Drosophila melanogaster: one gene and its partner. The protein of the gene in region 2 binds, or shares a complex with, the protein of the main gene of each other region. Each region holds a gene or a part of one and is shown on either strand. Other genes may lie near its edges.

Region 1 (3,755 bases), on a different chromosome or scaffold from region 2:
GGATGTGGGGCAACATTTTGTTGTTGCTGCTGGATGCTGGGATCGCTACCGTTGTTGCTGTTGTTGTTGGGTGTGGGCGGGCCCGAGGTTGGCGGTGTAGCGGCACCAGGAGCCGCTCCAGCCGATGGGGGCGTGGCAGCAGGGGCGGGAGCGCCACCTTGCTGCTGCTGCTGTGTTTGCGGCGACTTTATTTTCTCATTCATGGCTGCTCATCGGCTTCTGGCTGCGCTGCTCCCGATCTCCCAGATTTTCCGGATCGGATTTTCCCAGATGTGTGGCGGCTACTGATGGAACACCGGTAACCACCAACAACAACAACGCTGACGCTGATGATGACGACGACTGCAGCGGCGAGTTTGAGGTTATGTTAGCTGCAAGTTATCAAAAACGGGGGATTAGCATTTGGCAAAGGGGGTCTGGCTTATTAAAGGGGGCAGTCCTATATCACTGGGCCTAAATCGAGCGGGTTAAACATAAATAATTTGTACTCGTTCGTGGGCTGTTGTGTATTGAAAAGTCCGCTACTAACACACGCACACACATGCTCACTCGAACAGGCAGCACCAATACCACAACAATTTATTTTCCGCCGCGTACGGTGGGCAAATCGTAGTGCGTTGACAACCCTGCCGCAACCGCTCTCGCAGTTTGAGCGCATCCACTCTCGTTGGCGCTCTCGCTCTCTCTTTTCACATTTGGCGGCTATACACGCACACGCCGTATCCCTTTCCGTCTCACTTGCACTTGCTCGCCATCCAGGCTGAAGGCATATGGCGCTCTCGCTCGCTCGCTCACTCTCTCCCTTGCTCGCTTTATTAGTTTCTGTGTGAAACGAATGAAACGGGCAGCACAGTAATGATTTTTTCGTAATTATTTTCTATGCCGATTTTTCGCGTTTACACAGCACTGGAATGGAATGGACGAGGGGGCATCATCTCACAATTGTTTAACTTATTTTCTTTTCGTGAGTGGGAGAGAGAGGGGGGCTAACGCTTAAGATTTATAAATAATTGCCGCGCCTGCTTGGCCGCGTTTGTTGCGCGTTCACTTTTGGCCGCTGCCGTTGTCTTGAGAGGCTCTCTTTTTTTGTTCGGCTGCTTGCGTTTTCCTGCGGTTTTTCGCCAAGTGTTTATGAAGATGATGATGATGCAAGGATTCGACATCCAATCATTTGCATATGTATACACACACGCACTCACTCGCACACACACTCACACAGCCTCCAAAGTGCATCGTCGAGAGGAGAGAAACTGAATTTTTCACTCGCCCTCGGGCGAAAGTCCGGCGGCAGATTTGTTGTTGGGCCAAGAAGACTCAATATATATTTTGCGGGGCGCTTTGGTTTTTGGGGCTTTTCTTAACCAGAAATCTACATACACGCACACCACTTACACATAGAAGAATATTCACGCATTGACGACCGTCCACAGACTGGCTATATATACTAAAAACGAACTCGCGTGAGAAGACAGGGACAGGGCAGCAAACTCGGTATACGAACGGAACGAAATGAAACGATTCAAGTAGTAGTGTATGCAAGTCTTGTCTGTCTGCGCCTGGCGTTCTTTTCTCTTCTTTTTTTCGATGGTTTTTCGCCAGGCTGGGCGCTGCCAAAACGCTGATACGGCGGCCACAATCACACGCGGCTAATCGCCAGTTGGGCCCTGCACAGGCTGCACATACTTTTCACTATTAATGCGCTGTATTTCACTTATTTTTCGAACAAATTCGCAGCATGACGAAGAAGCGAGCCTGTACAAGATTAGAGCGGGTAGCACGCACGATAGTATCGATACGTACGAGTATTTGGCACTGCGATACATTATCGGTGCTCGTTTCGATAGCCCCCGATAGCTCTAGCACGAAATTTTATCGCTTTATCCATATTTTATACTATTTTTATTTATTGGACTTCAATGAATATTTATTTTACGTTCTGGTTCGCTTTTTAAATATATATGGTAATCAATAGCTGGCGAATTAGCGATATTTGAGTGTGACGCAAAAATGAGTTGGCATCGATATCGATTTCTCGCTACTCTGGGACGCCATCTTTATTGCGGTATTTTAAACGGAAACTTAACTCAAATTAAACGGCGTGCTAAAATTTTCCATTTTTTTCGAATAAAAGCACGTAAAAGTTTGTGAAGATGTAAAAGTTATAAAAACTAGAAAGCCTTATTCGTGGCCAGCGCTTTCGTTTTAGAAATACGTCAATTTAAAGTTTTTAAGGTAAATTGCAAAATTGCAATAATTGCAATAATATAATAATAATAAAATTTTGGTAAGTTATAAGAGAGTAAATACAATTTTGAAAGTTTATACCCCCGTTAACAAACCACTTGAATTTAGAGTGGCAGAACTATGCAACTACAGCGAGTTTAAACATCGATATATTCGTGATTTTTGGTTTGCTTATTATCGATTCCATACAAAACTACCGGCATAAGCAATTTTAAAATAGACGTAAACAACATCAACGTAATTAATCCACAAAAACAAATTCTTTTATTAATTTTAATTGATGCAATACATTTTAATTTTTGTGAAACTCTAAATATCAATAGTCGCCCTATGCATTGATCATTGTCACAAACATTGTTAAAATTTATTAAATTTATTTTGGTAGAACACTAGGTTTTCGATTTACTGGCTTCCGGATTTTTACTCATAGGTTTTAAAAATATTTTTTGCCAAGGATATCAACTAAAAAAATATTTGTTTATTTTTTTATAATATTAATGAAATTCTATATTGAACATTTTTATTTTTTGAACTGCTTGCACAATTTGCTAATAAGAGAAGTTGCGCTTAACAGTAAAATGTTACTGACATTAACAGCACACGTACGAGAATTACAGTACACTGCTTTCGACTTGCTGTGATATCGAGCATTCCTGGTATCGAGTGCAAAATGGCGGCATTTTAAGTTCAATTTAACACGATTAGGTTGAGCTTGTCGATTCTTTTTTAAGTATAAGCCAACAAATGTTTCATTAAACGCATAATGAGTCGCATTTTATTTATTTTGTTGCTACTTATTGTGACGCAACTGAGCGAGTTGCAGGCGGCAGCATTTTCTGTGCGCCAAAATCGTTTTGATGAAGTTCCTGATTTGCAGACTCCTGCACCTCTGGCCACTTCCACTGAATCTTCTAAGAAACCCGAAAAAGGTTGGTTACATATGTACGTTTAGTGATATAAATTGAATATCTCGGCAATTTCAAAATGGCGTAAAGGGTGAAAGTGTTCTTGTCCGCTCTCTGTGAATATAAGTTACGGTTAATCGCTCTACACTGAAAACAACTGCATAAAAAACTTTCATATTTACATAATTAACAAAATCAAATTTTTGTAAAATTAAATACAATATAATATAAAAGTATAATTGTTTCTTCAATTTTAAAATTATATTTTTATGGTTATTTTTATTTCGTAAATTGTACAAATTTGGTCTTTCTGTGTAGCTACCAGTGGTCTGCTGAAAAAATGCCTTCCCTGCAGCGATGGTATAAGATGCGTGCCCCAAATCCAGTGTCCCGCCCACGTTCGCATGGAAAGCCATGAAAAGCCCCAAATTTGCGATCTCCCGGCTGGAAAATTCGGCTACTGCTGCGAGACTGGACAGAATCACACTGCTCCCAAGCCGGAGACCTCTCCCAAGGAGCGTCGATCCGGATTTCCCACCATTCTGTCACCCGCAGTTTTGGATGAGGCGCGTCGCAATTTCGAGCACTTGATGCATGGAGTTGCGC
Region 2 (3,755 bases):
CCCTGGGATTGTGCCGCCGGCTCCCTGTTGGTTAAGGAGGCGGGAGGCGTGGTAACACATCCCTTTGGCGGACCATTCGACATAATGAAGCCGGATCTAATCTGCGCCGGCACAGAGAAGTTGCGCAAGGAGATCGAAGACCTTCTGCGTAAGGGAGACCAGGAGGAGTCCGTGGGAGGGAAGCCGGTGCAGAAGTAATTTAGGCAAGGCAACAACGATCTTAATTGAAAAGCTTGGGGTCAGCTGCACTGCCAATTGGCGCTCGAAGCTCTGCTAATGGGGAGCTTTCGGATATATTCCAGCTTTAATCGCCGGCAGCTGTTCCACGATACACGTCAAAAAGGCGGGAAAGCCCGTCAATCTTGAGACTTTGAAAAACAACACCGTATGATACCATAATTTTAAGCATTTAGCTGGCAAACAACTTAATATACAGATTACCTACTTGGAAATTTAGTATTTCTATACTTATTCACAAAGTTTCACGAATTTCGTATTGTTTATACCTTTTTCATATAGCATCCCTCAGAAAAATGTTAGTCTAACATGGAATTTAGATATTTATGTACCCATATCTGTATATAGAGTAAAGTAAATAAAGAAATTTAAAGAAATCCTTAATCTACCGTTTAGAATACTATGTAGATTTTATAGGATCTTTTACAAACGTATTAAGTATTTTAAAAACTTGCTAATTACTGATTATAAAAATTTTGAAAGTATCGATGGAAATATTTTCAATGTTTGCACTGAGCTACTGTTTGTCCAGATGGCATAGATTTGATTTGAGAACTGAGACATCTAAGTAGGCTTACTATTTTGATTCCTACGGCTAGACTTGGGGGTCACTTACATTGGGTGGCATTCCGTGGGTTTGGTAGGGGGACATGTTCGGTCCCGTCGGCGGCATCTGCATTCCCATGTGCGGACCTTTTGAGAAAACTACGGATAATTACGTGTGACTGGAGCGATTGGTGTTGGGTTGTTTAAGAACATACTCATCCCCTGGTGGTGCGGTGGCATATGATGCCCGGGTGGACCCTGGCCGGGTGGTCCGTGCTGCATGGGATGTCCGTAGGCACCGGGATGTCCGGGTGGCGGAGGTCCTTGCAGTGGACCCGGCTGCTGGTGCGGATACGGGCTGTGCGGCGAGGGGGCGGGACTCTGCGAGGGCGGGGCCATCGGACTGGGCGCCTGTGGCGGTGGCATGGGACTGTTCGCCGGAGAGGGCGAGGCCATATTGCAGCTCCTTTCTTGACTTTATCCAATAGCGATATCCAGCAACTGGTGCAGCCTAATCTGCAGATGGAACACACGTCAATGCACTGTATTTACCAACATTAAAGAAGCTATAGCCACGATATGTAATCGTAGCTACCGTTTTGTGTGCCTCTTTTGGCACACTTTTTCGCGCAGCCCGGTGCAAACCCAAAATAACGGCTAAAGATACGCCAAATCGGCCGAAATCAACTGCACGCTAATCGCACGCGAAGAACGCAATCGGATTGCTCCATTTGGCACCGAAAGTATTACCTATTAGCACTGTTTTCAGAAGGTTTTCTTCTCTTTTCACAACGCGACGCGACGGCAAAACTCTAATGGCGGCCGTCTCTATAACAAAAGTCACGCAAGGGTGGCAACTCTGTGAACCGGCAATAAAGGTGGGCGCGTTCAGCACAAGTCACTGTGAATATTTTTATAATTAATCTGTATGCACTCCTTAAAATGGTATTTATTTAAATTTAATTAATGATATTAAACGTTTTTTTAAAGTTATTAAAATGTTATTTTTTACAAAAATATATTCGTGCTGAACGCACGCTGTGACACGTCATGTTCGCGTGACCTGCGAATGGCAAAAACGAAACCATTCTCCAGCCCAAAAAAAAGTGAAAACAAGACTTCTGCGATTTTGTATTAATTGTAGCACCACATACAATTAACTAGGTTTACTAAACTTAAGCATTTAGAGGCAGCGCCAGCACTAGACAAAGTTCAGCCGTAATCATGGGTTTGTACAGCACGGAGCATGGACGTGGGGAACCTCCCCGTTCCGGCGACACCCGGTGACGAAGTCTGGTCATAAAAATCATACGTTCTTCTTCCAGGTGGGGTGCTCAGCTACTTTCGCGGACTGCTCGGCTCCCGGGAGATGCGCATCTTGATCCTGGGCCTGGACGGCGCCGGCAAGACCACGATCCTCTACAGACTGCAGGTGGGCGAGGTGGTCACCACGATACCCACCATCGGCTTCAACGTGGAGCAGGTCACCTACAAGAACCTCAAGTTCCAGGTCTGGGATTTGGGCGGACAGACAAGTATTAGGTGAGTTGGTTACACGAGAGCAGTATTGTGATGGCATTACCCAAGTCTTATTTAATATCTAGAAGACATATTTTCGGTTGTAGTTTAGTAAGCCTTTTGGGTTTCCAAAAAGCCATTATAATTGTAGCTGATAAGATAGGAAACATCTGCATCCACAACTTAACTTAAAATAGCTAATAGTTCTTTCTTTAGGCAGGCTACGTACATATATCTATTTGGCCTTTAAGAATGGTAATCCTAATCTCAATTCGTGCTATTTCCATTATAGACCTTATTGGCGTTGCTACTACAGCAACACGGACGCAATCATCTATGTGGTGGACTCGGCGGACCGGGACCGCATTGGCATCTCCAAGGACGAGCTGCTGTACATGCTGCGTGAGGAGGAGCTGGCCGGCGCGATACTGGTCGTCCTGGCGAACAAGCAGGACATGGACGGATGCATGACCGTCGCCGAGGTCCATCATGCGTTAGGACTGGAGAACCTAAAGAACCGCACATTTCAAATATTCAAAACGTCGGCCACCAAGGGCGAGGGACTCGACCAGGCCATGGACTGGCTGTCCAACACCCTGCAGAGTCGCAAGTAGATACTTAGCCAGTCCTCAGACCCCCAGATCCCTGTGTAAAAAATGTGTGTCCAAAGCATCGCCAGCTAGGGAACGTCAACAGCTTTTTTCAAATTGCAGATTGCGCAAAAAATCCACGAACCGAAAGAAACTTTGTAATAACTTCTAGTAATATAATTATTAAATTATAGGATTAAACAATTCATTAAACTCATGCAATGGTTACCACTCGGCCAGGCCGAATCGCAACACCCGCTTCTCCTGATTGTCCAGATCCATGCGAACCTTCTGTCGCATGTAGAAGATGGGACAATCTCTGTTGGAGCAGATGACCTCCTCGTGCAAGGATTCCTGGCATCGCTGGCACTCGGTCCATAGGCGAGAGAAGGTCTCCTCCAGTTCCCTCTTCGCACCCACCTCCTTCTGATACAGCTCACTCATTCGTGGCTCGCAGTGTGGACACAGACAGGCCTGTTCGTAGCCCTTGGGCATCAGGGATTTACAGCCCAAACACGACGTTTTCTTGGTCATAAATCCAGCAAGTCCACCCACTTTGGATGTTACCACAGTTCGTGTGCGCGTGTGTTCTCCTTTTAACAAAATTGACTCGGCATTGTCGCCCAAAATAGGTTCAAAGATCCTTAGCAGCGGCTTAGACAGCTGCTGTTCCAGGTAGTAAGTGGCATCGATGGGCACGCTGTTTTCCAGCACATACAGCGGATCCTCGGCCTTCTGGTAAGCGGGTGTGTTTTTGGCTGCCGCACAGATCACATAGGGAACTCGATCCCCCAGTTTGGGCGCCGTACCGGGATCTCTTTTCTTCATCTTGGCGGCCAGCTCAACGTGTGCCTGTTTGGCTGC

What was found.
Region 1: brm (region 2) and osa share a complex: the UniProt entries of both Drosophila melanogaster proteins name them as parts of the brahma complex.

The regions. Positions count from the first base shown.
Region 1 is NT_033777.3:17,716,564-17,720,318, forward strand, and holds the start of osa (osa), read right to left. Parts: upstream 1,788-3,755; 5' UTR 1,393-1,787; intron 372-1,392; 5' UTR 204-371; coding exon 1-203. Other genes in the region: Pxt (Peroxinectin-like), read left to right, coding at 3,008-3,173, 3,468-3,755. UniProt on the Drosophila melanogaster protein: Trithorax group (trxG) protein required for embryonic segmentation, development of the notum and wing margin, and photoreceptor differentiation. Required for the activation of genes such as Antp, Ubx and Eve.
Region 2 is NT_037436.4:15,981,270-15,985,024, forward strand, and holds the start of brm (brahma), read right to left. Parts: upstream 1,601-3,755; 5' UTR 1,534-1,600; exon of another isoform or gene 1,300-1,533; 5' UTR 1,240-1,299; coding exon 999-1,239; intron 943-998; coding exon of another isoform or gene 931-942; coding exon 854-930; intron 620-853; exon of another isoform or gene 199-619; coding exon of another isoform or gene 1-198. Other genes in the region: CG17027 (uncharacterized protein), read left to right, coding at 1-198; Arl1 (ADP ribosylation factor-like 1), read left to right, coding at 2,008-2,011, 2,109-2,325, 2,594-2,915; PolD1 (DNA polymerase delta subunit 1), read right to left, coding at 3,117-3,755. UniProt on the Drosophila melanogaster protein: Transcriptional regulator. Acts as a coactivator, assisting one or more dedicated transcriptional activators of ANTC and BXC homeotic gene clusters. Can counteract the repressive effect of Polycomb protein.